Linked DNA regions of Nothobranchius furzeri. The protein of the gene in region 2 purifies or fractionates together with the protein of the main gene of each other region. This does not show direct contact. Links are inferred from orthologs where the notes say so. Each region holds a gene or a part of one and is shown on either strand. Other genes may lie near its edges.

The links.
Region 1: the proteins of zc3h18 (region 2) and nuclear cap-binding protein subunit 1 purify together in Homo sapiens (co-immunoprecipitation; 3 studies listed by BioGRID and IntAct, with this or other methods). This does not show direct contact. The link is inferred for Nothobranchius furzeri from reciprocal best matches to the Homo sapiens genes ZC3H18 and NCBP1.
Region 3: the proteins of zc3h18 (region 2) and ncbp2 purify together in Homo sapiens (co-immunoprecipitation; 3 studies listed by BioGRID and IntAct, with this or other methods). This does not show direct contact. The link is inferred for Nothobranchius furzeri from reciprocal best matches to the Homo sapiens genes ZC3H18 and NCBP2.
Region 4: the proteins of zc3h18 (region 2) and casein kinase II subunit alpha' purify together in Homo sapiens (affinity purification with mass spectrometry; 3 studies listed by BioGRID and IntAct, with this or other methods). This does not show direct contact. The link is inferred for Nothobranchius furzeri from reciprocal best matches to the Homo sapiens genes ZC3H18 and CSNK2A2.
Region 5: the proteins of zc3h18 (region 2) and sf3a2 purify together in Homo sapiens (affinity purification with mass spectrometry; 3 studies listed by BioGRID and IntAct, with this or other methods). This does not show direct contact. The link is inferred for Nothobranchius furzeri from reciprocal best matches to the Homo sapiens genes ZC3H18 and SF3A2.
Region 6: the proteins of zc3h18 (region 2) and chd4b purify together in Homo sapiens (affinity purification with mass spectrometry; 3 studies listed by BioGRID). This does not show direct contact. The link is inferred for Nothobranchius furzeri from reciprocal best matches to the Homo sapiens genes ZC3H18 and CHD4.
Region 7: the proteins of zc3h18 (region 2) and srpk2 purify together in Homo sapiens (affinity purification with mass spectrometry; 3 studies listed by BioGRID and IntAct, with this or other methods). This does not show direct contact. The link is inferred for Nothobranchius furzeri from reciprocal best matches to the Homo sapiens genes ZC3H18 and SRPK2.

Annotation. Positions count from the first base shown.
Region 1 is NC_091741.1:71,547,690-71,551,917, reverse strand, and holds the start of nuclear cap-binding protein subunit 1, read left to right. Parts: upstream 1-1,428; 5' UTR 1,429-1,566; coding exon 1,567-1,600; intron 1,601-3,224; coding exon 3,225-3,313; intron 3,314-3,385; coding exon 3,386-3,486; intron 3,487-3,569; coding exon 3,570-3,726; intron 3,727-3,806; coding exon 3,807-3,914; intron 3,915-4,228. Other genes in the region: thiosulfate sulfurtransferase/rhodanese-like domain-containing protein 2, read right to left, coding at 1-98, 199-307, 407-693, 1,058-1,183. UniProt on the Homo sapiens protein: Component of the cap-binding complex (CBC), which binds cotranscriptionally to the 5'-cap of pre-mRNAs and is involved in various processes such as pre-mRNA splicing, translation regulation, nonsense-mediated mRNA decay, RNA-mediated gene silencing (RNAi) by microRNAs (miRNAs) and mRNA export.
Region 2 is NC_091744.1:81,886,523-81,890,022, reverse strand, and holds part of zc3h18 (zinc finger CCCH domain-containing protein 18), read left to right. Parts: coding exon 1-84; intron 85-417; coding exon 418-632; intron 633-1,865; coding exon 1,866-1,965; intron 1,966-3,500.
Region 3 is NC_091748.1:71,743,112-71,747,404, forward strand, and holds the start of ncbp2 (nuclear cap-binding protein subunit 2), read left to right. Parts: upstream 1-1,493; 5' UTR 1,494-2,521; coding exon 2,522-2,596; intron 2,597-2,686; coding exon 2,687-2,773; intron 2,774-3,011; coding exon 3,012-3,106; intron 3,107-3,581; coding exon 3,582-3,720; intron 3,721-4,293. UniProt on the Homo sapiens protein: Component of the cap-binding complex (CBC), which binds co-transcriptionally to the 5' cap of pre-mRNAs and is involved in various processes such as pre-mRNA splicing, translation regulation, nonsense-mediated mRNA decay, RNA-mediated gene silencing (RNAi) by microRNAs (miRNAs) and mRNA export.
Region 4 is NC_091749.1:31,588,393-31,592,327, reverse strand, and holds the start of casein kinase II subunit alpha', read left to right. Parts: upstream 1-1,135; 5' UTR 1,136-1,461; intron 1,462-3,014; 5' UTR 3,015-3,116; exon of another isoform or gene 3,117-3,221; 5' UTR 3,222-3,284; coding exon 3,285-3,391; intron 3,392-3,472; coding exon 3,473-3,584; intron 3,585-3,771; coding exon 3,772-3,873; intron 3,874-3,935.
Region 5 is NC_091751.1:56,891,866-56,895,850, forward strand, and holds sf3a2 (splicing factor 3A subunit 2), read left to right. Parts: upstream 1-1,185; 5' UTR 1,186-1,274; intron 1,275-2,013; 5' UTR 2,014-2,036; coding exon 2,037-2,234; intron 2,235-2,328; coding exon 2,329-2,375; intron 2,376-2,496; coding exon 2,497-2,606; intron 2,607-2,695; coding exon 2,696-2,745; intron 2,746-3,056; coding exon 3,057-3,197; intron 3,198-3,274; coding exon 3,275-3,343; intron 3,344-3,421; coding exon 3,422-3,673; 3' UTR 3,674-3,900; downstream 3,901-3,985. UniProt on the Homo sapiens protein: Component of the 17S U2 SnRNP complex of the spliceosome, a large ribonucleoprotein complex that removes introns from transcribed pre-mRNAs.
Region 6 is NC_091745.1:74,032,285-74,036,532, reverse strand, and holds the start of chd4b (chromodomain-helicase-DNA-binding protein 4), read left to right. Parts: upstream 1-1,448; 5' UTR 1,449-1,597; coding exon 1,598-1,661; intron 1,662-2,107; coding exon 2,108-2,232; intron 2,233-4,248. UniProt on the Homo sapiens protein: ATP-dependent chromatin-remodeling factor that binds and distorts nucleosomal DNA. Acts as a component of the histone deacetylase NuRD complex which participates in the remodeling of chromatin.
Region 7 is NC_091744.1:58,271,275-58,274,774, reverse strand, and holds part of srpk2 (SRSF protein kinase 2), read left to right. Parts: intron 1-1,437; coding exon 1,438-1,530; intron 1,531-1,811; coding exon 1,812-1,904; intron 1,905-3,500. UniProt on the Homo sapiens protein: Serine/arginine-rich protein-specific kinase which specifically phosphorylates its substrates at serine residues located in regions rich in arginine/serine dipeptides, known as RS domains and is involved in the phosphorylation of SR splicing factors and the regulation of splicing.

The DNA.
Region 1 (4,228 bases), on a different chromosome or scaffold from region 2:
TTGAAGAAAGGATGTGAAAGCATTGCATTGATGTAAAGATCAGTGGCCACGTTGGTACCACCAACTGTCCCGTTGATGCCTTCTGCTGCTACCCTTACCTACAGAAGATGATTGACATTTTAACTACTTAAATGTTTCTTTAAAATCCTCTATTTTCTGATATGATGTGCTAGAGTCTAGCTGAAAGGGTTTTCTTACCTTGCCGGTTAGGTGAAGTGACTCACACAGAGCTTCCTGCCATGCACAGACAGCATGTGGATCGTCCACTTCACAGTAACAATAATAGAGCAGAACCTTCCCAGGACCACTTCATAAAAACAAGAAATAAACAATCTGCATATGTTGAAATCTGATCAAATCTATAAAGGGGATGGATATAGATATGTATATACTCCATTCTGTTTACTTTTTTAGTTCACCCTCAGGGATGTGGCTGATATCTGGTATCCACATTGAAATGTCCACTGCCTCCGTCTTTTTCCCTTTCAGCTGCTGTGTTTCTGTGTCTTTTTCCAGCTGGCTTAGCAAATGTTCATATGTGGCCTGCGTGAGCTGCTGTATACTAGAATTGTGAGTTTTGGCCACATGTTGGTGAATCTCAGCATGTTCGACGAAGGTCAGGCTACAGCAGCACCAAGATGTGCTTCCTTTTCCTGCACACTCCTTCTTCGATGCTACGAAGGCAGCAAATGACTGTGAAAAGGAAGAAGCACGAATGGCATTTAGTTTAAGTAAATGTGTGCAAAATTCTAAGTTTAATGTGGGATGAAGTTTGTCGCTGCAGGTTATTTTGTTTTTATTTTGATACCTAACATTTGTCAGACATGTAAACAGATAAAATAAATGCTGCATTTACAACTATTTAAATAAACCAGTATTTACATAATATAAGTTCAACTTTATTTATTGAGCGCTTTCACATGCCCAGGAGGACAAACAAAGCGCTGTACACCAATACAAAAACAGCATTCAAATCAGAAATACACAAAAAAGTATACATTATTATTATAACTTAGCTCATCATAAAGCCAACAAACGGTCATTGTTTTTTCCCCACCTTTCTTCTGCAGAAACTGTAGTATCTTCTTTGTGAGGCAGAAAGTTGTCTCTCCTGTTTTAATCCATTACTTGTCGAAAAATCAACATCCAAATTCATGAAGCAGCCGGTTTCAATCGCTTCCATCCTAACGAAGCTGTTAAACACTGCCAGTTAGTCGATTTTTTGTCTAAATTAAATACATTTTAAGACAGTGATCGTGCCTTGCTGTCCTAACATTTATTTGCTGCCATCTTACCAAACATAAACTCTCAAACACGGTGAGGAAAAAAAGGTCACAAACGTGTTTCCGACAATGTCGGACGAAATAGGAGGACGGACTTTTCATTTGACCTCGTGCTGCCCCGGAAGTTCTCCACTTGAATCATACCGCTGTTATTTTTCTGCGGTGGTTTCTGCGTTGCACAGGCTAAATTAACTAAGTATCAGCTAGTTCGTCCGACTTGCTGCTTCGTTTCATATCGGTTTTTTCTTTTGGTTGTCTTGTGTGGATTTTAAAGTGGCCTAATATGTCCCGGAGACGACACAGCGACGAGAATGACGGTAAATCGGCGGAGATTCAGTCACACTTTAGGCTAATAGGCTAACATTAGCGTGTTTTCCTTTCCTTCACCCATGTTGGTTATTTGTTTTGCTAATACACGTGGAGTTTTTGGATAGCTTCCATCAAAATTAAAAAGAGCAAACTCGTTATCAGCTGACATTTGTGCAAAACTAAACAGCGAAGCTGAATGAACAGCGTAAGACAACCGCCAATAACCTATGCTGTTACTGTTAGCTGATTGATGGCTAACTAAACTGATATGGAGGCGGTACCAATGAGTAAAAGATACACAACCTGATAATTGGATCATTTCTGGTAAGTTGTTAAAAGTGTAAAACTGAGTCGGAAATTAATCCTGACACGTCATGTGGTGAGCTAAACTGCTAACAAGCATCATTCTAGAGAAAATATTTGATTTCCAGTGTCTGTCCTATTGATTTTGTTAAAGCAGTGCGTATTCCATTTTTAAACGTTTCTCCCTTTTGCTTGTACAGAAATGTGTTCACAGTTGAACCCATGTATAATATGCAGATGCTGGTAATGGAAAACAAAACATGGAATGAGAAAAATCTTAAATAGTCATGTAACTGCCTAAAAGTATGTGTGAGCTTCAAGTGAATGTTTCAGAAACCTTCCATTGTTGTCAGTTTTATTTAAAGTCCCATTAGTCATCATCGCACACTGGTGAAATTACATCTCTGCATTTGACACATCCTTGTGGGCAGCAGCGAACTGCAGCGATGGCTGCACTTGGGAACTATTTGGTGGTTTAGTCCCCCAATGCAGTCCCTTAAAGCTGAGTGCAGGGAGATATTGGGTCCCATTTTTAAAGTCTTTGGTATGACCCAACCAGATTTGAACCCTGATTTCCTAGTCGCAGGGTGGAGACCCATACCACTAGGCCACTGAGAAGGTTTGTCAAGCAGATAATGTCTCATTGTCAGTATGTCCTCAACAGGTCAAAATAGCAAGGATTAAAAGCCTTGAACTTCACTCTGGAACAGAATAATTGCTAAAGTATTGACATTCTCCTTTTATAATGCTGCTAACAGATTAATTATCTAAAAAGGGGCTCATGTGTTGATGTGAGTTAGGAGAAGAAACTTTCTCATACTCCGTAAACTGTGTTAAAGGAATCAACTTTGATGTGTTGCTCATTCTTTTGCGCAAGTCTTTACGCCTTATCAAGACACTCACACACACACACTTGGCCTGTCATCTTCAATAGATAATACTGTTTTGAACATTAGGATTAGATGTTCTTGTCTACTGAACTAGAGTGAGTCTGAACTCGGACACTTGTCTGCCCCCTGATGCCATGCAAGGACACTGGGTTATGGTGTGGCGATGTCTGTGTCTGGTGACCTTAACAGAGGAATACCTTTATTGGGTTACAATGATGAAGTTGCTAAAAGGCACTGCTTCGATTAAAAAGTGTAAGCTTTTAAACATCAGCTTAATTTCTGTTAATCTAGGTGTTTCTTAGCACAACACAACCTTTATCAAATAAATATGCAAGTGTTTACATGTATTACTCATTTACGCAGATTCTGTTGGTGTTTTCTGTGGTGTCGGTCAGAGTTTATGAACATGTGTTGATTGTGTGACTCTTTTACCCACCAGGAGGTCAAGCTCACAAGAGGAGGAGAACTTCTGAACCTATTGAGATTGAAGATCGTCTGGAATCCCTGATATGTCGTGTTGGGGAGAAAGTAAGAGCAGACAGACAGAGAGATGCTCTGAAATCTCCATCACTTGACTCTGTTGTATTTTGTTATTAACAGAGTACATCATCCCTCGAGAGCAACTTGGAGGGCCTTGCGGGCGTCTTAGAGGCAGATCTTCCAAACTACAAAAACAAAATTCTGCGTATTTTATGTTCTGTGTATGTTTGTATAGGTTATTGCTTTCTGATTAATAAAGAGGCATTCAGAAGGCAGACTTTACTAAAGCACTGTGTGTCAACAGCGCCCGCCTGCTACCTGAGAAGCTTACCGTCTACACAACCTTGGTCGGCCTTCTCAACGCCAGGAACTACAACTTTGGAGGCGAGTTTGTGGAGGCCATGATCAGACAGCTGAAGGAGACCCTGAAAAACAACTTGTACAATGAAGCTGTTTACCTGGTAAAGCTGATTTTCACACAATAAATCTTCACAAAAGGGAGTTTAAAATTCATCATGATGGGTTAATTTTTGGTTTTCAGGTGCGTTTTCTGTCTGACTTGGTCAACTGTCACGTGATTGCTGCTCCTTCTATGGTGGCCATGTTTGAAAACTTTGTGAGTGTTACTCAGGAGGAGGATGTCCCACAGGTAATCAACAGTTTCTGATCAATATGCCTGCTTCTGAGTACTTAAAGATTGTTATAATTGCTTGTACATATTTTATATGAGAACAGTCCTTTGTCTAACGTTTTTATCTTATCTGTTTTTCTTTGGTGTAAAGCTAATTATGTGTCTGTTGCTAATGCCTCTTGCCAGACCCTTGTTGTAAATGAGAATGAGTTCTCAATTGACTCATCTGGTTAAATAAAGATTCAGTAAATAAATAAAGGTAAACGTGAACTTGGGTTATGTCATTCTGATTCAGTTATTTGGGAAACAGATTTGTTCAGAATTGTTAACAG
Region 2 (3,500 bases):
CTCGCTCGCCCATGCCAAATCACCCCCGCAGAGAGCGAGTTTCTGCACGAAACCGGTCCCCGCTGGCGCGGGACAAGATCAGGGGTTAGTGTGGCGCAGACTGAAGCATCGGCTTCCACTTAGCTGTAAAAGTTTAACTGAGGTTCTAGAACAAAAATGTTCAAGAAAAAGAATTATAAAAATGTGTTAAACACAAATGTTCTGGTCCTGCGTGTGTAATTCACCTCCGTAAGATGCTGACAAACCTGGAAAAGAAGAAACAATCTTTTGTATAGCACCTCTTAAAATAAAAATTACGAGGTTATTTGGAAAAAATGATAATTTTTATTCATTTAAAAATATCTTAAAAACACAAGAACATGAAGAAAATGTATTTATTATTTAAGGTTTTGAACTAAAATGTTTCTGTGCTCTCAGAACGACCATCAAAGAAAGAAGAGCCTTTCAGGGACGATCGCAGGAAACCTGACCCATCTGGGGGCCCGCCCAGAGGAGGGAACCCGGTGCCCCGGTCAGGCCCCGGTACCAGGGGAGGCAACCCTGTACACCCACGACCCGGTAACATGGGCCCTCCTGGAAGCTACGGAGGTTCAGGTTCCCACAAAGACATCAAACTCACCCTCCTCAACAAGGTGACTGCCACGCTGTACTTGTAAACGTTTCAGTCAGATTTTTGCGCTGAAGACAGAAAAATGGCCCCTGAAACGAGACGTAACCTTCAGAGAGGAACAGTCCCAGAGGCTGATGCACAAACTCATGGGCGTAGATTTGGCATGGACGGAAGTGACATGATGTCCCTACCAATATCCAGTGATGACTAAATAGTCCCCACCAATCTCTTGACCGCCTCCGCTAAAACAAACAAGCATGTCGAGTGTCTCGTTACCCTAGAGGTGCAGAAAGGGTTAAATGACGTTCTCTGCTCGAGTCCTACCTCCGTAACGCATAAGGCTGGTGTGATTGGCTGCGCATGTTGTCACGTGACAAGCTACGCCGGTTAGCAGCGCCAAAGCTAGAAGGAAAACATTCAAAATCAAGACTCTTGTGTTTGCAATGTGACGTGACACATAGTGCCAAAAGCGAGTGAGGATGGAGGCATGAGCTATTTTCCAAAGAAACATGTAAGTCACTTAAAGTTACGTTTGCTAAAGAAACGAGTCCATCATAATAACGTTATTGGCACAAACTGTTTTAACTGTAGTGTAAACCACCGTTTTTTTTATAACCTTTAGATTTATAAGTCCCCACCAAACCTACACCAATGCACAAACTAGAGAAGATAAACAAGGCTATTTGTTTTTAGACCTAATGACATCATGGAGAATTTAAAGCCAAATGCAGATGTGAGCAGGCTGCCAGATGAATGCAAAAATACTTTAAGAGTCAAAATTAGCAACACTTTGTGGATCTTTTGATTATGTCTTATTAAGACATCTTCAACACATTTAAATGGATCAAGACTTTTCTTTTTAAAGCTTTTTAAACGTTTAGATGCTCCATATTTACAGTAAACGACAGATTTTATAGTAAAATATCACGATGCATAAGTTAAAGTACCTCCGGTGTTTCTAGCAGTGGCTTTGGTTCAACAATCACCAGTTTACTTCCGCTCCTTGTGACCCAAACCCGCTGTAAGGGTTCCTCCAGCGTAGGCCCACCGGCTCGTCTGTTTTCCACTCTGATCGTTTTGTTTGGACCAAACGGGCGATTCAAACCTTTAAACAGGTGAGCTGGAGCGGAGGTACTAGGTCAAAGGCAGGTTAGCTGTTTGTGCTAAAATCATAAGGATTTCAGCTTCTCTGTTTATATTTACCATCAGAAATACAAGTGAATGCTGGCGCTTATCCCAGCTCCTCGTTTCTCAGCAACAGGGCGACAGAGGCAACAGGAAGCGGTACCTGCCTGCAGATAAAGACCGGCCCAGCCCTCCTCTCAGCAAGAGAATGGCCATGTCTCCAGACAGAGGTGAGATTCTAGACACCCGATCACTGCAGCAACTGCACCCCCTCTTTTTTAAAAGTGCGGGGTCAAAACTTGGTTTGCCTTTTGAGCTAAAGAGAAAAAATGTTATTCCAGCCAATCAGAAAACTGCAAGAAGTCTGTTTATTCGAGTAAGCCTTTGATTTTAAATAGCCGTCTATCTTTTAAGCTTCACTGCCAGGTTTACAGTTCTGTTGGTTCTCACCCGGTCCCTGTGAGCTGTCTGTAAAATGTAAAGGAGACGTGCTATAAAGTAAAAGAATTAAACCAGGGGGAAAGCACGGGCTGCTGAACAAAGCGTTGCTTTCATTTTCACGTAGAAATAACGCATCAAAGCTCCATGTAGTTTATTCTTGTGTGATCCAACATGTAACTTTCAAGAAAAAGGTGACGAAACTGTTTTTATTATCAAGCAGCAAGAAGGTGTTTTCTTTATTTGTCACTTTTCACGTGCGTCAGGTCTTCCCTTTGGTGGTTTTTCTGCTTGTGGTTCGACTCACCGTCTCCTTCCTCTGGTCTGTCCAGCACCAGCTCTAATTGTTATTATTATTATTTCACACTGTGAAAAAATCCTTGGTGGTATGAGGAAGTCAACAATATCTGCAAACGTCACAATATAATGGGCCTGATCATGTGAATTAAACTGCTATTCACTCGTGATCTGTTTTACTGAAGGACCAAACTAAATTTAATCGACTAAACAAATGCTTTTTTCTTCTGATGCAGTGATTTTCAGCGTCTGTAGGGAATGTTAACTATGCCTACTTGAAACTGTAAAATTCACATTTCACACTTTGGATCAGTCAAACTTTATAATTGTTTTACTGTAATTTCCGGACTATAGAGCGCACCTCAATATAAGCCGCCCCAACCAAAAAAAGAAATGTTTTCCACACACACACACGCCGCACTCGAATACAAGCCGTGGCGCAGCAGCCACATGCAGGTCTTCGGCACACAGCGCATGTACGGCCATAACATACGATAGTTAGACAGAAAGACGCTACATGGAGGTTTTTCGTTGTTGTTTTAATTCAACAAAACGAATTTTAAACACGGGTGAACGTGCCTGCAAGTTTATAAAAGAAAACAGCACTGATAGCATTCATATTTCTGGATGTTATAAAATAAAAACAGCACTGACACGTTACTACCGGTCATTTGCATGTTTAGAAGGAAAGAACAGCGCTGACACAGCATTAATAAGCCCTGGATGATTAGAAAATAAAAACTGCACACGAAACATTCCTGGTTAGTAAATAAAACACACTTGCCTACCAGAAAAAGTCTTTCGCTCTCATCTTCCTCCTGCGCACTAAAGCCATTAAAGTCCTCTTCTTCAGTGTCGGAGTGGAACAGCCTCAGAAGAGCTTCGTCACATACCTTTTCTGTGTTGCTGTCATCATCCCCGGGTGAAGCTGGCTTGAATGAGTTCTTCCCGCTGCCGTCTCCAGCGCCAAACCACGGATTCATTCATGCCAAGCTTACGTGCGGCAGCGCTGTTTCCCTCCTTTACTGCC
Region 3 (4,293 bases), on a different chromosome or scaffold from region 2:
ACAAGTGATTTTTATAATGAAACAAGAGGCATGCTGGAGGCCATGTTGTTATAGGTGATGTTTTGTTTACGAGTTTGAGTTAGAAAAATAAAATGTTGACCTTGTGGTTCCCTTGTAAGTTTGTGCGGTTACTTTTGCGCAGGTCTGTTGTCACAAGTTAAAATGTAAAAGGAAAACAATGGGAGGGATCCAGACAGTAGCCAATGGCACCACATCTTCGTAATTATATAGAAAAGTACACTGACTCACTGACTGTCCTAGCTTCATCCAGCTCTGACCTTCAGCTCTTGCTGGGTAGGTTCACGGCTGAGTGTGAAGCGGCTGGGATGAGGATCAGCACCTCCAAATCTGAGACCATGGTTCTCGACCGGAAAAGGGTGGCTTGCCAACTCCGGGTCGGGGGAGAGGTCCTACCTCAAGTGGAGGAGTTTAAGTATCTCGGGGTCTTGTTCACGAGTGAGGGTAGGAGGGATCGGGAGATCGACAGGCGGATTGGTTCGGCGTCTGCAGTGATGACGCTGAGCCGATCTGTCGTGGTGAAGAGGGAGCTGAGCCAGAAAGCCAGGCTCTCGATTTACCGGTCGATCTACGTCCCAATCCTCACCTATGGTCATGAGCTTTGGGTAATGACCGAAAGAACGAGATCGCGGATACAAGCGGCCGAAATGAGTTTCCTCCGTAGGGTGGCCGGGCTCAGCCTTAGAGATAGGGTGAGGAGCTCGGAGATTCGGGAGGGACTCGGAGTAGAACCGCTGCTCCTCCGGATCGAAAGGAGTCAGTTGAGGTGGTTTGGGCATCTGGTCAGGATGCCTCCTGGACGCCTCCCTGGGGAGGTGTTTCGGGCATGTCCTGCCAGCAGGAGGCCCCCGGGTCGACCCAGGACACGTTGGAGAGGTTACATCTCCAATCTGGTCCGGGAACGCCTTGGGGTCCTGCCGGAGGAGCTGGTGGAGGTGGCCGGGGAGAGGACGGTCTGGAGCTCCCTAGATGGGATGCTGCCCCCGCGACCCGGACCCGGATAAGCGGAGGAAGACGACACTGACTCAATACCCTTGGGTATTTGCTTTCCTAAACATATGTTTATGAAGGAATGATTAGGTTTAGTTAGAAGTTAATCCATTACACCATCTCATTTAGACAAGGCAGTTTTATTTATATTTCAAACAGAAGCAATTAAACGTCCTTTCAGGTCCAAGTAAAACGCCCGAAAACAAAAATTAGCCGACAGAGTAAAACTGTAAGGTTCGTCTTCAGCGTTCAGACATAAATTCTGATTGCTTTACAGCCAGACAGGACGTGGTTTATAAAAAAAAAGAAGCATAAAGATGCAAATGTTTAAATCGAATTTAAGATGTACAAATAAAAATATTTAAAAAAAACTGCAGAAGGTGTTGATGTTGGAAGAAAAAGAATATATATATATATATATATATATAAAATCAGTAATTTGCTAATGAGATTTCTTGCACATATATGGCATTAAAACACTTCTGATGCTGATATAAAAATCCCCATCTCACCCTCCGTGGGTGGTCTCATCCTTCCAACCTTGGGTCCTCTACCAGAGGCTTGGGATCTTGAGGGTTCTGCAGTATATTAGCTGTTCCTAGAACTGCACTTTTCTGGACTGAGAGGTCTGATTGTTTTCCTTGGATCTGCTTTAGCCACTCCTGCAGTTTGGGGGTTATTGCCCTGATGACCATGGGCACCACCGATGTCTTCACTCTCCAGCTTAAGTTCTTCTTTGAGGCCCTGGTACTTTTCTAGTTTCTCGTGCTCCTTTTCCCGGATTTGCATGACTTGGTATCGCCACATCAACCACAACGGCTGATCTCTGTGGTTTGTCCACCACCACAATGTCCGGTTGGTTCACCATCACCATTTTGTCAGTCTGGGTCTGGAAGTCCCACAGGAGCTTGGTTCTCTTGTTCTCTACCACCTTAGGGTCAAAAGGTACGTGCAGTCCAAGTGCACCAAAATACAAGAAATCCTGAAAGTGATGGTCTGGTCCCACAGAGCCTGATCTCAACATCAATCGTGTGTCTAGGATTACAGGAAGAGACAGAAGGATGTGAAGAAGTCCATATCCACCGATGATCTGTGGTTAGTTCTCCAAGATGTTTAGAACCAGCCCAGTTCCTTCAACAAATGTGTGTGTGCACCTAGAACTGATGCTGTTCTAAAGGCAAAAGATGGTCACACCAAATATTGATTTGACTTGATTTAGATTATGTCCATTCACTGCTTTTTTGATTCTTGATAAATGATTAACACTTCCAGTTTTGAAAGCATTCTGCGTTTTTCCCACTAATACACTAAGAAGAAACACACACACAAACAACTACAAAGCTCGGATGAAGGCGAAAACTTAAAAAAAAATTGTAAGCAAACGCAAAATGATCTAATTTAGCGATCCTCCGTGTTTCCTCCCGGATGTATTTAGTGGACGGACAAAATACCCGGAAGTACATCATCCAAACTCGCGTCGTTAGCATTCTGCCTAAGTAGTCATTTATCCAAAATGTCTTCTAAACTAAACGCTTTAACCAGCGATTCTTACACTGAGATTAGTCAATATAGAGATCAACACTTTAAGGTAAGGGAGAAGGTGAATGAATTCGACTTTTGTATGTAAATGTGTTTTTCTCCTGCTCTAAGAGTAGTTTTATGTCATGTTTGTTTTTAGGGTAATCGTTATGAACAGGAGAAGCTGCTAAAGCACAGTAACACTCTGTATGTTGGGAACCTCTCCTTTTACACAACGGAAGAGCAGGTAAGACCTTTAAATAAAGCTAGCTTCGGCTTCCTGAGGACTGCTTTACTTCTTACATTATTCCATGAAAACCTTTCAGAACTTCTAAACGTGGTTATAACCAGCTAAATAATCCGATGTTCAAGATCGATGTAGCTACTACTGAGATCTGATGAATGTTGGCTTATAAAAACTAGACGGTTGTGGCTGGTTTATACTAGATTGAAGGCATATTTCGAATCACTGCTAATATGAACAGGTGCACGAGTTGTTTGCTAAATGTGGAGACGTGAAGCGTATCATCATCGGCCTGGATAAAATCAAGAAGACTGCCTGCGGATTCTGTTTTGTTGAGTATCCTTTTAAACTATTGGTAAATGGCCTGTATCTGTATAGCATCTTCTTAAGGTTCTACAGCCCCCCAAGGTGCTTTACAACACAATTAGTCACCCACCCACACATTCACACGCTGGTGATGATGAGCTACAATGTTGCCACAGCTGCCCTGGGTGCATAGACTGGCACAACCGGTCCTACTGACCACCACCAGCAGACAAGGCAGATTAAAAGTTTCGCCCAAGGACACAACAGCAGCATTCTCTGGCTGGAGCCGGGATCAAACCTACAACCTTCCAATTACTAGACAACCCACTCTACCTCCTGAGGTACTGCTGCTCTATCGTCACCTGATCTAGTAAAGCCAATTGATGCACAAGAAAACAAACCGTTTAAATGTCAACAGTGTTTCTGTCTTGACTGGTCGTGTATTAAAAGGGTAGCATTGATGTGAAAATGAACAGAGTGTGGACCTTAGCTGCGCCTGTACCAGATACTACACACGAGGAGACGCAGAGAACGCCATGCGCTTCGTTAACGGTACCCGGCTGGATGACCGGATCATCAGGACAGACTGGGACGCAGGCTTCAAGGAGGGCAGGCAGTACGGGCGTGGCAAATCTGGAGGACAGGTGAGGTTTACGGTCATTTTGGTTCATAATGTGAACTTGCTTAAAGGCCCAGTGTGTGATATTTTTTACCAGTTTACTATCAAATCCTGTGTTTGCAGTTCACAAACTGCAAACTTATATAGTTATACATTTTATATACATAATCTGTGGTCGAGGCTCCATGGTCATCCACCATCTTAAAATACAGTAGCTGTTTAGGGACATACGAGCTCCACGTTACCGTTTGGACTATGACTGTAACCTGAAAGAACCAGCAGAGGGCAGCAGTGTGCCCTGGAAGCATGAAGTCTGCTAATTCAACTAAGAAATAGAAAAGAATAGCTACACCGTTGCTCTACTTGTTAGTTTGAATTAAAAACAACTAAATCAAAAGACATCAAATTTGTCCATTCCTCGTCATGTCCAACACAAGATCCCCGCCCGCCATTATCTGGAAGCCAGCCTCTGATTAGTGTCTCTGACTCCCAAACTCACCTCAAGTTGTTCATCCATCTTTTCGTAGAACCAGAACTCCCGATCCGGTCCCAACGTGTCTGTACTAAAGTCCTTCTACTCAAGTCTCCTCTCTTCCCG
Region 4 (3,935 bases), on a different chromosome or scaffold from region 2:
CATGTAAAAATTATTTTCCAGCTCATGATCTAACCAGTTCGGCTGATGAACAGTAAAGTTGATTGTTTTTTATTGGCCACAACAAATATGAATAAAAACAAATTTAAAGCAGGAGACTTAGTTAAAATATCACATTATTGTCTCTGGAATCCCATATTTGTAGAAATTAGATTTATTAGATAATCCACCTTGCCAATATAAATTTAATGTAACATAACATATTATTTGTTTTGACATAGCTAAAATGTTAAACTCTAGAACTCCAAATATAATGAAGATACTAGTAATGGCAAGTAAAATAATTCAAATGTATGTTTAATTGCAGATATACGATAAAGTCAACATTTTGTTTTATCTATTTAGCATAGTTTATTTTTACTATTCAGCTTCTACACATTCAAACTATAACATTTATTTTACTTTACTTTTTTCTGATGGTCGTACACGATCCAGCTCTCCACACTTCCAAAATTATTTTAAAATTGTTTGATGGTTTAATTCATACATTCGTTGACATACTGGAAAATTCTGTGCCCATCTTGTCTCCTCAAATATTGATTTGGCGTTTAGTCTTCTTGAAATCATCTTTTAATAGTAAATTCGTTTATGATAACATTGTCTACTTTGAAACAAACACGTAGCTATTTTGAACGTTTTTCAGCTGATATGCAGGAAAAACAGCCGGTGAGACAATATAAAGTTAAATAACGTCGTATGCACATCACTGGGCATAGTGAGTAATGTCTCAGTCTGTCCCTCACAGAAAACAGACACAACTGGTTCTCAAAAACTCAGAAACTCCCAAAAAGTCTTGATGGTAGATTTTAAACCATGAAACAAAAATGGTGAAAAAACCAAATAATTATAGAATAATGAAACTTTTGAATAATGTTACGAGATTCCCGTATTTTAAATAATTTTAGGAATATTAATTGTATAAAAACATTTTCATTGTGACATTTATTGCAGTCTTTATGAAGAAAATATTTAAATGTCCCGTAACTTAAAAGTAAGTGCAAACAGACTGAAGAGCACTAGTCAGGTGCGGTGATTCATTTCGTGTATTAATTTTATTTTCTGGTCCCCCCCCCCCCCCCCCCCCCCCCCCCACACACACACACACACACACACACACATTTCTGGCTGATGGAGGAGCTCCGTCTCGGTTAACTTCCGGGTGATGTTTACCGCAGAACTGCTGGATGTGCCTCCACCACCACCGCCACCCATCAGTCAGAGTCAATCAATCAGACACATTATCAATCACCTCGGACCTGCTGGGCTTACATCACCGCGCGGACATCAAAGTTAACCCGCGAGCCAACGACCATTGATGACGTTTTCTGCGCTCCAGCTTCCGACGACGAGGTTAGCCGGCTAACTTTAGCCTCCGAAATGACGACGCTGATAATTATTGCGGTTAATTCGTGTTTCGTATGCAAGAAGATGTGAATTCAGACGGTAAATGTCTTTGTGATTCCACATTTTTGAGGCAGAGTTTGTATTTTAAAGTTGTATAAACTAAACAGGTAATCGTTACTCGTTAGCTTAGTTAGCATCAGTTGAATTTCTAACAGAGGATGTTACCTAATCTTCCTGACAGTTACAACTGGTCCATCTAGTTAGCTTGTGGAGTAGCCCGTTGTTCACATCCTTCATAGCCGTTTGAGGGAATTAAATGTGTATTTGAGAGGAGAAGCTCTTCAGAACCAGAACATAGCGGTGATGGAGCATGAACGGGCCTAGAGGAGAGGAATCTGTAGACAGCAAATATATCAGACTTCCAGAGCTACACGTTACTTTAGAGAAGTATACACCGATTTAAGAAAGGTGTGAATAAGCTCAAACGACTGCTAAGACATACATGGTGACGGGAAGTTTTAATATGTCGGAAAAAATTATGATAGACTTAAAACGGCTACGAAAGAAACGTTGAATTATAGGAAACGGATCAGGTAAAGATCAACATCACAAAACAAGTGAAACACGATCTGATCAAATAAAACATCTTTTATATATTTTATTGTACATAGTAGTTGAAAAAAATGTGGATTTTTGAGCCCATATCTACACAACCAAAGTCTTTAGGGATTTTCAGAGAACAGGGCAAGGCAGTTTTATTTATTTGGTACATTTCACACACAGAGGCGGTTCAATGTGCTTGCCAACTAACAAGAATAACAAGAACATTAAAATCAATACGACATCACAATTATAATACACACAAATTCAATTTAGATTTAAAAATGAAAGAAGAAAGCAGTTACAGTGCAGAATGTGCAGTGTTATATAAACAGCCATTCAAAGGCTGATGAAAACATGAAAGTTTTCCATTTTCATTTAAAAGTTACATGAGTTGAGTTGGGGCACATTTGAGGTCATAAGCAAGCTGATTTATTCTGTGTGCAGCATTGTAGCTAAAAGCAGCGTCACCCTGTTTGGTTCTGACCCAGGGTTTTACCAGCTGCCTGTTTACTAAGGATCTCAGAGCCCTGCTGGGTTTATGTACCTGAAGGAGGTCCGACATGCATTCTGACCCCATGCCATTGAGTGATTTTTAAACTAATAGAATCACTTTGAAATTGATTCTGTAGTTTACTGGTAACCAGTGAAGAGATTAAGGAACAGGAGTGATGTGTTTCGCTTCTCTTGGTTCTTGTTAAGGCTCTAGCAGCAGCATTCTGAATAAGCTGCAGTTGATTCACAGCTTTCACAGATCATTTTAAATGTAAAATTGTTAAATTTTAGAAATATTTTTCTAAAAATTTCTTGAGAATTGATCTGCAATAATTTGTTCTAAAGGCAAATGAAAAGTCCAAAGTTGTAACTTATTTTGTCTAATTGTTTAATGATTATTTATTTTTACTAACTTTGCACATTTGCATGCAGCTGCACACTTGATACTTTTGTTGTTTTTAGACCATTTTTATACCAGTTATATGCAGATAACAGCCAAGTCGGTAATAAAAAAATAACTTCCAGGTTTTTCTGCTCTTTTCTTTTTTTCCCAACAGCTGGCGGTTCTTCATCCCATCCTGTCTAACATCCGTCTCAGGGGCTTCACTCAGTCAATAATTGTAGCTTTGTCGGTCTGCACAGCCACCCCTGTGGACCAGGTCAGTGCTTTTCACCAGAGAGCACAAGCAGCCAATGCCAATGGTAAACACAACACAGGGATCTTAGAGCCTCAAACTCAGTACAGCCGCTGCGCTGCCTTCCAGTATCGCGACAACAAGTATTCTGAGGAAGGGGGAGTTTCCCGACACGGAGCGTCGAAGCTCGCGATGCCCGGATCCTCGCCGGCCAGCAGCAAGGCTCGGGTGTACACCGATGTCAACACACAGAAGAACAGAGAGTATTGGGACTATGACGCACACATGCCAAACTGGAGGTACAGAATATCTTACTACAGTTACCATCAGCATAATCAAACAGCTTTTTATTCACACTTAAAATATTTTTCTCTTTTCAGCAACCAAGACAACTACCAGCTGGTGCGCAAACTGGGCAGAGGGAAGTACAGTGAAGTATTTGAGGCCATAAATGTAACAAACAATGAGAAAGTTGTGGTGAAAATCCTCAAGGTGAGATGTCTTGACTTCCCAGCAGTCCATCCTGTAACAAATGTCATGTATGTAGGTTTATTTGTCTTACACAATTGTCTGAGTAATCCATTTTCATGTTCTGAGGTCACGGACAAAGTGCTTAGACTTTATTTTTCCTTGTATGTAGCTTTTTTGAGTGGATCTTTGTACCTCCTTTCATCCTCAGCCCGTCAAGAAGAAGAAGATCAAACGGGAAATAAAAATTCTTGAAAACCTGCGAGGTGGAACCAACATCATCCGCCTGATTGACAACGTCAAAGACCCAGTGGTGAGTCTGAAACACGCTGTGGCTGTTTTGCATGTCGGCGTGTCAGCCGCGTTAATCCGGTC
Region 5 (3,985 bases), on a different chromosome or scaffold from region 2:
TGCTCAGAAAACCTCACCATGGAGGCATCTAGGAGGCATCCTAATCAGATGCCTGAGCCACCTCAACTGGCTCCTCTACACCGAGCCCCTCCGGATGACTGAACTTCTCACCCTATCTCTAAGTGAGAGCCCAGAAACCCTGCAGAGAAAACTAATTTTGGCTTCTTGTATCTGCAATCTCGTTCTTTTGGTCACTACCCAAAGCTCATGACTAAAGGTGAGGGTAGGAACATAGATCGGCCGGTAAATCGAGAGCTTCGCCTTCTGGCTCAGCTCTCTCTTCACTACGACAGATCGGTACAACGTCCGCATTACTGCAGACACGATCTCATCCCACCTGTAAATCTCACTCGCCATCTTTCCCTCACTCGTGAACAAGACCCTGAGATGTATAAACTCCTCCACTTGGGGCAGGATCTCATCCCTGGACCCAGAGAAGGCATTCTACCCTTTTCTGACTCAGGACCATAGTCTCGGATTTAGAGGAGCTGATGCTCATCCCAGCTGCTTCACATTCGTTTGTGAACTGCTCCAGTGAGAGACGGAGATCACGTTCTGATGAAGCCATCAGGACCATGTCATCTGCAAAAAGCAGAGACCCCATCCTTAGGCCACCAAAATGAATGCCTTCAACACTTTGGCTGTGCCTCGAAATTCTCCATAAAAGTTATGAATAGAATTGGTGACAAAGGGCAGCCTTGGCAGAGTCAACCTCTCACCGGAAACGAACCCGGCCTACTGCTGGCAATGCGGACCAAGCACTGACACCAGTCATATAGGGACCTTACAGCCCCTATCAGAGGGCCTGGTACCCCATACTCCCAAAGTACCCCCACAGGGTCCCCCGAGAGATGCGGTCCAACACCTTGTCTAAATCTACAATTAGTTTAAATCCAGACCCTAAAAGTGAAAGCAACAAAATCAATAAAAGTTGGGAAACAAAACCATAGCAAAAGAAATAATACAAACAATTGATCCAAAATTAAAGAGAACATATTAAATAAATAAACAAAAATGCAAATGTTTCATATCGTTTTTTTAATTTATTTTTCACATTTTAAATGTAGCCCTTTACTCCTAAATAAACTAATCTCTTAGGTCTTTATTATATGCTTTTATCCGCAAACGTTTGTTCGTCGGTCAGTTTTACTCCTGACCACTAGATGGCAATGAATGTTTGAAACTATTTATGAACTGCTTAAGCTGAGAACCAACACGCATGCGCAAAACAATTCTGTCCATCACAGTTTGTCGTTAGATTTGTTTGGGAGAACGTAAGTTTATTTATAATATTTAGCTAGTATTTTGTTGTGCAGTTCGCTGAGCAGTAACGCTAAAACATTGATTAGGCTATATTTAATTTCATTCTGATAGTTTGTTCATTTTGGTAGGTTTAAAACTATCCTTGCATATATGGTAGCACTGTTAGCATTGTCAGAACGACGTCCATCGATGCTAAATGCTAACAGTAAAATGTGCGCGAAAGGATAGTTCAATATAGGGATTTTCTAGTTATGTTATTAAAAATTAAGACGTTTCAACCTAGAATCATGACAAATTGATAAATTGATGAAAGGGGTGTCGGGAAGAAAGTCTTTATGATTTGAGTTATAGATTTAACACATACACGCATACATACATATACAGTCCTGACTAATGTTCACTATTAATACTACATTTAAGGAACTGTGCCGCTCAGATATTCATTCTGGCTGCTGTAACACATAGCGTTACCATTTTATCAGCAATTATATGAAAGTTGTTGAATTTATATTTATGATAGTGTTACTACGTGCATACTGCTTTGTACAGTACTTATAGTTGTGAATGTTTTCTACATTTGAAATAGCATATGTTTCTCAGTTTTATAGGGATGGTAAAAATAAAACACCAGGGGTTCAGTTTTAACTGAACTGGCTTTTTCTGTTTTTTGTTTTGTGTTTATTTGAAGAAATACACGATACATTATGTTTGGTCTGTCCCTTTGATGCTATATGTTTATGTTGTCTTTAGACTGAGTTCATCACTTCAAAAAAATGGATTTCCAGCATCGAGCTGGAGGGAAGACTGGAAGTGGAGGGGTGGCGTCTGCCTCTGAGAGTAACCGGGACAGGCGTGAACGGTTACGTCAGCTGGCTCTAGAGACCATCGACATCAACAAGGACCCCTATTTTATGAAGAATCATTTAGGTTCTTATGAATGCAAACTTTGTTTGACACTTCACAACAATGAGGTGAGGAGGCACTTAACGGATTGGATTGGGCTATGTTAGAATTTTTGATATTTGGGAATTGTGTTTCTAAAGAAAACCCTCTACTTGATTTTAGGGCAGCTACTTGGCTCACACACAGGGAAAGAAGCATCAGACCAATTTGTAAGTCAACCTAAAACATTCTCTAACACAATTAATTGCTACTAGTTCAATATTTGTCAGTAAACATTTTCCTGTATAATTTTTTCTTTCTGAGTTAAATCTTTTCTATTTGGTGTTTTAGAGCACGAAGAGCAGCCAAAGAGGCAAAAGAAGCGCCGGCTCAACCAGCTCCAGCAAAGGTTAAAGTTGAGGTCAAGAAGTTTGTCAAAATCGGTCGACCAGGATACAAAGGTACACTGGCTGCATGGTTCTATATTAGATCAACATTATTTGGCTTTTTGTAACAACTTTTGATCCTCGTCTTTCTCTTTTTTTCACAGTGACAAAACAGAGGGACCCAGAGACTGGTCAGCAGTCTTTACTTTTTCAGGTGAAAATAAAAAATATATTTTAATTCTGGAAAAATCCTGCTGTGTTTCTGGGAATCTGAGACACTTGATAATAGGCTTTATGCTTTATTGTTCGTGTGAAACCAAAGTTAAATGCCATCATATGTTTAGCTCCACTTTAATTATTTTCCAGCCCAATATAACAGTTTTGCTCCCATTGTATGACCCCATTGTGGACACCACTTGAAGATGCGTTGCAGATACAAAACAAACTCCTATAGTTCCTATCAGGGCAATAATAACCAGATGTTACAACATCTGACAAGTTGTTTTTATTTCCCATATTAATCAGATCGACTATCCAGAGGTTGCTGAAGGAATTGGACCCAGGCACCGTTTCATGTCTGCTTATGAGCAGCGTATCGAGCCTCCTGACCGTCGCTGGCAGTACCTGCTGTTTGCTGCTGAACCATATGAAACTATTTCCTTTAAGGTGGATGAAAACTGTAATTTTTGTCATTGTGCTCATGTGTCACATTTCCGTAACATTAAAATGTTTGCTCCTTTAAGGTCCCCAGCAGGGAAATTGATAAAGCAGAAAACCGCTTCTGGACTCACTGGAACAGGGAAACTAAACAGGTACTGACTCTGCTTTGTTTTTACTAAAAAACTAATTTAAAAAATTTTCTAATGTATGAATGTTTTGTTTTCGTTCAGTTTTTCCTGCAGTTCCACTTTAAAATGGAGAAAGCCATTTCTGGTGGTCCAGCTCCTCCTGGCAACTTAAAGCACCCCGCTTCACTTATGAGTGGCCACCCATCAAACGACGGTCTTCCACCTCCACCACCAGGAGGGATGTCTGTTCCTCCTCTGCCACCCGGGGCACCAGGTCCCCCCCAAATGCCCCCACAAATGCCCATGCCCCCCATGCCAATGAGGCCACCTCCCCCAGAGGGCCTTATGCAGTGATAATTTGCTGTTAGAAATTGCATTGGTGGTCAGTTGTTCTGCTCTGCCTGTTTTGTATTTTTAGGATGTTGGATATCTTCAGTAGATTTTCATAACTTTGTTTGCCTAAAAATAAAATTCTAAAGCTAAATGTTATGGAAACATTATCGTCCTCTTGTAAACTAATATCTGGACACATTTTTATTTCTTATGTCCATTTTTTAATTAAAATACACAAATACTGAAAATACCTGAGTGTTTGTTCTACAAAAAATACAGAGAATTATCTGAAGTTTACTCTGATCAGGTTAAAATAAAACAAATCAACAAAAT
Region 6 (4,248 bases), on a different chromosome or scaffold from region 2:
ACCGAGCAGCTGTTGAAGGTTAGCACCCAAACGTGAGCACCCAAACATATGAATGTTTTAGTCATGTTCACAACATTGTACAATGTTTTGTTAGGCGGTGCGGCACAAGTCTAATTTACTGGATTACAAACTAAACTTGGAAAATTAATTTGCATTTGTGTGTTTTTTATGAACCAATGTCAAAACCAGAACCATTCATCACTCTGCACAGGTGTTGCTTGCTCGGGGATGCAGCTGAATACCTGATCGTACATGAGCTGCCGATGGAGTAAATCATACATGAGCTGATGGAGTAAGTTGGAGGAGTCGGGTTGTGATGATGAAGTGGTGAACCAGGAGGCCTCAGCCTCTTTCAGGGTCTGGTTAAACGCTCCAGCTCAGCGGGCCTGTGTGACCTGCGCACCGCGCCGCTGGTATGTGGGCTACCTGTCTGAGCCCCACAAAGGGGCAACACCGGAGTCTTTCTGTTTTTACTTTTAGGCACTCAGTGAGTATTATGGTCTGTCACCAGAGGACTTCACTTCAGCTCCCCTAGAGACCATCAGACTGTTTTTTTTTTTTTTACCTTTTTGTCTATTTAGGTGTTGCATATTATGGGATGTATGCTGCCACTGCTGGAGTATTATGGTCTGTCATGGAGAGCGGGAGGGGGGTGTCACCATGACAACGGGGTTGCTAAGGGGGGGGGGTGGGACTACTAGTGGAAAGGGGAAGGAGTGTGCATGCTATGAGTCTAGTGCACGCATGTCTAGCACCTAGCACTGGCAGTGTACGCGTGTGCGCGCGAATGGTGAAGGGGGGTGGGGGCAGGCTGAGTATTATGGTCTGTCCGTTGCGAGGTAACTATGCAGAGTCCTGTGCGAGTGTGGGAGGGGGGTGGATTATTATGGGATGCCTGTCCCCTTTGTGTGTTTGTGAGGATGTTAGCTAAGCGCTGCCTGTTAAGGTAGGGGGGAAGGAGAAGTGGGGGACGGAGCCGCGTGTTTCGGGTCATTAAGACAAGAACTGCTTGTTACTGCTAACACCACACAGGGATTAATGAATGGACACCAAAGGCCGACAACAGGAGCGGGAACAGTTTAATTTGTGTTGATTCTCGCACCGAGGGAGAACTCACCTCACGCCGGGACTACACGCGCAGTACAGTAAGTTTCCAGTGTGTGACGGTGGAAATTTCAAAGCTTAAACTTTTCTCTAGTGACAAGACGGCTCGCGTTTGCGGTTCCTTTTGAGGCTGTCGTTGAAAGCCACACTTTACTCCCGTGTGGGGCTCTCTACCTGTAAATCAGCTAATGTTAATGTCAAAGCGGGTAAAATCTTTTTAATTTAACTTGCTTGAGAGGACAGGTGGATAATTGGACGGCATGTAAATAACAAACAAGGAAGTTTCGTGCCTGTGCAATGTATTGTTATTTTTATTTATTTTTTTCTCTTGCACCCAGACCCCCCCCCCCCCCGCCTCCTCTCCCTTCCTGGACACCCCCGGTCCATTATCCACCAGTCCCACGTCATTTTCCCTCCTCCCTCGCTGACCGAGGAGCAAGGTTTACGGAGGATTTATTCGGACACCAAGAATTCAAATAGAAACGCTGGGAACATGTCTTGCAGCGAGGATGAGAGGGAGGACTTTGGAGCCGATGACGAGCACTCACTTCTTCACGGTAAGCTCGCCTGCTTTCCTCCCCTCCTGAAGAAGGTCCATCTCTGTGTAACTTGAGCTCGCCTTCAACGCGATGCTAGCGTTAGCCCAAGCTAGCGAGGAGTAGTCGGCTCGGGTCACTCGCCATGATAGATTAGTTAGCTAACTTGGACAGCAGAGTGTTCGGAGTTTTGTTTTTATTTTTTAATTTGTTTTCGTGTAACCCAGCCCACCAGCGTGTCCTCGCCACGGTGGGCGTGAACTGTCAAAGTTTCAACTACAAGTTTCAACCTGCTGTTGTGGCATTTACGCTGTGTATGTGTGCGCGCGTGCTCGGACATTTGCCAGTCGTGCCACGGCGCGCGCGCGGTCTCCTTGTTTTTGTTTTTTTTCTTCCCTCCCCTCTGGTCTGCAGCAGCGGTGCTTTCTGTCCGTCTGTACTCTGCCGGTAACCGTGTCTCTTTACAGACGAGGACGAGCCGGAGGATGCTGTCTCTGACGCAGAAGAGGCACCCAAGTCAAAGAAGAAGAAGAAAGCCAAAAAGAGCAACCGGGAGAGCAGGAGCAGCAAGAGGCAGAGACCCATCCGGGAGGCGAGTTTACCGCTCTGATAAAGTTTTATACATCCAAATAAGCTCTTTTATAAGTTTAGGCCAAAGGTCAAGGTACTGTAGAAGGCATTTAGTCTGTTAAAACTCTATATTTAATACAAAAATAACAAAAATATGTTAAGCTATACAAAGTTATGATGGTGAGCCCCCCCCCCTACACATTCTGCTGTGTTTTATTTTTTGTCACACTTAAATGTTGTAAATAACATTTCAGTGTCAGACAAACGGTCTAATGTCTCAATCATGCTTGAAGGAAGGTTACATTGACACAGATTTTCTAATCAGGCAGCTGGGGGCTGTTAGTTTTTCTCCATTTGACATGGACAAAGAGGGAATTAGTCTTTTTTTTAAATGTGTGAGCCCAGAGCCGGCACAAGGTGACTGCTTGGGGTCCCCAAACAGCACCCAGATGACTTGAAATAATGTTTTAATAACTTTAAATAATACAAATGTGACAGTGTGTGTCCTGTCACAGTGTCCTGATTGATCATGCGCCCTGGCTACTTGGCCAGTGGGATGTCCCTTTGGCTGACTGGTTAGAGCGTATGACTCTCACCCGGGAGTCTGAGGATCGAATCCCGCCTGGGCCCTCGTTTCTCCACCGTGCCACACAAAGTAAATAATGCTAATCCCAGAAAAATAATTAAATATTACTTTCTGTTAACTCATTCACTGCCAGTGACGGCAAAAGACGTCATTTGCATGTTTTTACTGTGTGGGCGTCGGAACGAGCCCCCGCACCGTGAGAACAAACATCTCAGCTCTAAAGCCGATCTTTATCCGCATACGTCACACGTCACATGATCAGGAAGCAGCAAATCCATGTGGTAGGAGATCGTTTTGGGCCGCTGCTGTAAAAAAAAGTGAGGCGCGAACCGGAAAAGCTTCTGCCGATCACAAGTCAACAACGGATTATGAAAGAACGGATAACGCTCAAAACGCGCGGATTCTTCCTGATGTAAGAGGTGAGTTGGTAGTTTTGGCGTCGACATCACCCTAGGGCGCAACATTCTCTGACTCTTTAAAAAAAACTGTAAAAACGGTGAGAAACGCTGGCAGCAAAGGAGTTAAGGATGCACGTTTTCCAAAATGTCTTTAACCGGCTATTGGTGCCCCTTAACAGTTGATAGCCGGTTTATCAGAAACCCTAACTTTAACCAATATATTTGAAATATGTTTATTAATATACCACATTTAAACAACACTGCATTGGGAAATGCTAAAGTAAGCATTTTTGTTGATTCATTACTCCTGTAAAGTTAAAATTAATAGCCATCAAAACACTGATGTGATGTGATCTGTCAGTTTGCCCCAGGACAGCTGTGGCTACATCGTAGCTCATCCCCACCAGCGTGTGTATGGGTGAATGAATGACTGTGTTGTGAAGTGCCTTGGGGGGTTGTAGAGCCCTAAGAAGGCGCTTCGCAAATACAAGCCATTTTTTAAAAATCGTAAGCTGCTTACAAATTATGCTAATGATAGGATGGTACACACATAGTGTGGCCTAGGAATGATGAATCATCTGCTGTTGACTTGTTGGTATGAAGGCCTCCAAGGAAATCCTGCTCAGGGCCCCACAAAGGCTTGGGCAGGTCCTGTGTGAGCCCACGGGGAAGCAGAGTCTGTACTGGCATTTGTTATTCAACACTGGCCGGCAAAAACTCCAGAGTTTGTGATGGGATATTAGCCAGTAAACAGGAGCAACCCAGAAGTTATTTGTTGTACTGCTGAAGCCCGGACTACACTGCATTTTTTGGCCTTCCTAGACAAATCCCTCATTGTGAAGAGAATTGTAACAAAAAATGGTCAGTGTGAGGGTGATTTGCAAGTCTGTGGCCGTCCAGTGTAACCGGCTCTGCAACAGCTTAATGAGCATTCTTACAAAGTCAGCTTGCAGCAGTTTTCAAGCTTTGCTTCAACCTCATCTGTGCCCCAGACAAGCTAGTTCCCAAAGTCAGAGACTCTCTTGGTCAGCTTGCTTCTCACACCAAACCTTCT
Region 7 (3,500 bases), about 24 Mb from region 2:
GGATGACACCCACATTTCCAGTAAACTTAACTCCACTCTCCCACCCTCCTCCCTTACCCTCTGCCTCTCAGAAATCAAATCTTGGTTCACGTCTAATTTCCTCAAACTCGGTGGAAATAAAACTGAACTTCTTCTTGTCTGTACCAAATCCACCGTCTCCAAATCGGACAGCTTTTCTTTAACCATTGACAGCGCCACAGTCACCCCATCCCCTCAGGTTAAGAGTATGGGTGTCATTCTCGAAAGCTCACTTTCTTTTCATGCTCACATCAATAACATAACTCGGTCAGCCTATTTCCATATTTGATCCATAAACCGTCTCTGCCCCTCCCTTACCCCTCACACCGCCGCCATTCGTGTCCACAGTCTTCCACCTCGATTACTGCAATTCGTTTCTTTTTGGTCTCCCCTACAACTCCTTCATAAACTTCAACTGGTCCAGAACTCAGCAGCCCGTATTATCACAAGAACCCCTTCCTTTCACCACATCACCCCGGTTCTCCAGCAGCTTTACTGGCTTCCAGTTAAATTCAGGTCCATCTTAAACATTCTCCTCCATATATTTCAGACCTTAAACGTATTACCACCCTCTCCGGTTCCCTCAGATCGTCTTCCTCCCTCCATCTTGCTGTTCTTTCTGCCCGTCTCACTACCACGGGGAGCAGAGCTTTCAGCCGCTCTGCTCCCCGTCTCTGGAACTCACTCCCCCTAGACATCAGAAATATTGACAGTTTCACCCTCTTCTAATCCAGACTCAAGACACACCTGTTCAAATCTGCCTATGACCTCTGATTTTATTTGAATTTAGTTTTTTCTATGTTCTTTTCTTCATTGTGTTTTAATGTTGTTTTAATGTAATTTACTGAATGTATTTTTCCTGTAAAGTGACCTTGGGTGTCCTGAAAGGCGCTTAAATTTTTTTATTATTATTATTATCATTTGATCTGGCTCAGCTCATTGTGTTGTTTTTCTAGCTTCATGAGCCACAGTTAGCTCCCTTCTCCAGGATTTTTTGCATCAAGTCAGCGTCGGTTTTTCAGACATCCCAATTTACAGGAAACATCTTTGATCTATTGCAAGCCGAGTTGTCTTTGATGTATTTGTTTCACTTTTTTTTTCCTTTCCTTACTTCTCCTGTGGAGGCACAGCTTATTAACAGGATTTTCTTCTTTAAGATCTGTGATGGTTTCTCTTTTCTCTCTTTTCTCATCCCCCTTAACCTCATCATAATGATTTCTCTTTTATTCCTGTCACTCGCTATCCCTCTTTCTTCTTTGTTACCGGTGTTTCACCCTTATTCCTTTTTATGGTCTTATTTTGTGTCCTTTTTTTTTCTTTGATTCCACTCTCTTATTTTTATTTTTGGCTCTGTCTGCCTTTCATCCCCCTTCCTTACCTTCTCTGTTTTGGCCTCCTTCCACCCCATCTCCTCCATAGACCACATAGCCCACATCATAGAGCTGCTGGGCTGTATTCCGAGGCACTTTGCACTCTCTGGAAAATATTCCCGGGAGTTCTTCAACAGAAGAGGTAGCGCTGGCCGTAGAGCTGGTGGGGCTGAAACACAAAGATGTCTTAGAGGGACAATAATGGAAATGAGCAGACTGTTTACGTTTGGTCCCAATGGATAAACTGGATTAAACTTTAAGAAAAATGGAACAAATTCACCCCCCAAGTCTGCGAGAGTGTCCAGGCTGAGCCTCAAGCCATCTGTGTGTCAGCCCCGTGCAGCCAGTGTATGTGTGTGTGTAGATGTGTGTGCATGCTGTAATGTGCCTGTTCCCATTGTGATGTATGTGACTGGTGGGCAGACCACATCGCTCTGATCACGGAGCTCCTTGGGAAGGTCCCACGCAAAGTGGTTGCTGCCGGGAAGTACAGCCGAGAGTTTTTCTCCAAGAAAGGTAAACAGAACCAGAGTCCGTGGCTGCTTGGTGGGTTCGCTGTTGGCCTCATTCTGAGGAATGTTCTGGTGACAGAACCTAGACTATGTAATCGGTTTCTGTAAAGTTTGTTCCTCGTTAAGCATCAAGAAATGTTCAGGTGAGTATTTCTTTAAAGTCTCTTTCTGGAGTATTTCCCTTATCCGATGGCACCATCTAGTGGCTGACAAGCATATCACACAAATAATTTCTCCTTCCGTTTTATTAAAATGGCGACTTCACGTTTCTTGTTTATTTATGTCCTTCTGTTGCTGACAATCAGAGCTAAAACACGATGTTTTACAAGAATTATTCTCATGTCATGTTGTTCTCCTATATTTATACTTAAGAGACTTTCTTGTCCGTGAAAAGTTCATCAACTGTGCATCAGCCAAGGTATTTCTTAAATTTCAAGCACGTAAGCGGTAGTTTAACACTATTGGTCAGTTCTGGTCGGCACGGAAAGTCATACATAATTTCTGAACGGGGAAACTCCAGAAAGACACTTTAAACGGCTGAAATGGATACAAGGCTTTTGGACATCTTTTGTTTACAGAGACATTACATTGGTGTTGTCTCATGATGATATGAAGGTTTTTCTATTGGGGGGGGGGGGGGGGTTTCAGTTCGCTAGAATGTATGGGGGGTGGGGTGTGCACGCAGGGTTTGCCAAAAAGTTGATTTGGGGGTGACTTGTTTAAGAGGCATGAAAAACTGTTTAAAGCTAATTTGTTTTCCAAATTTACCATTCAGCTTTAATTAGAGTTCAACTCAGCTGGTAAAGTCTGCAGAACTGTGATGGCAGTAACACCTATAGGGGGCTGAAAATCATCAGCTTTATTTTTATATCACCAGTTCGCATCACAAGTGGTCTCAAGCATTCCAGTTGAACCCGCTGATTAAACAGTTTAGTTCATTATTCCAGTTAGTTAAAGGTTTTCTAAGGAACCCAGCAAATTGCATCGAGTCGCTGACTAGTGTCAGTGACTTTACAGCAATCCTTATACTAAGCAAGCATGTGGCGACAGTGGAGAGGAAAATGCCCTTTTAACAGGGATAAACCTCCAACAGATCCTGGATCAAGCAGTTGTCTGCCACGACTGAGAAAACAAAGCACACTTAAAAAAATCACCAGATGAACTGTGGTAGGAGTATTTTCTATGTTAAAGAAAATAAAAGCTAAAAACGTCTACAGAGAGGCTGCTCTGTCATCATTTTACTTTATGAAAGAAAAACATCCTAAAACTTCTCCTGAAAACAAATAAACAAGTTTTAAACTGTTATTCTGTCTGATGACTTTAGAGGCATGAAAACAAAAACACATTGGACTCTTATGGTTACCGGTCTTATTGAGTTAAATAGGAAAACAAAGCACACTTGTTTAGGTTACTGCTGATCTTTGGGGCTTTCTTATTACCGGATGAAAATCGCCCATGGGGAAAAGACAGAACTCATCATTTGCTGGTCTCACCTAGAAGACAAGTACAGTAGTTTTGTCAAGAATTGTTAAATAAAATGAAATTTGTAGAATTTATAATGTGAAAATGTGATTTTTGAGTTGAGGTTGTTCTAATCTGT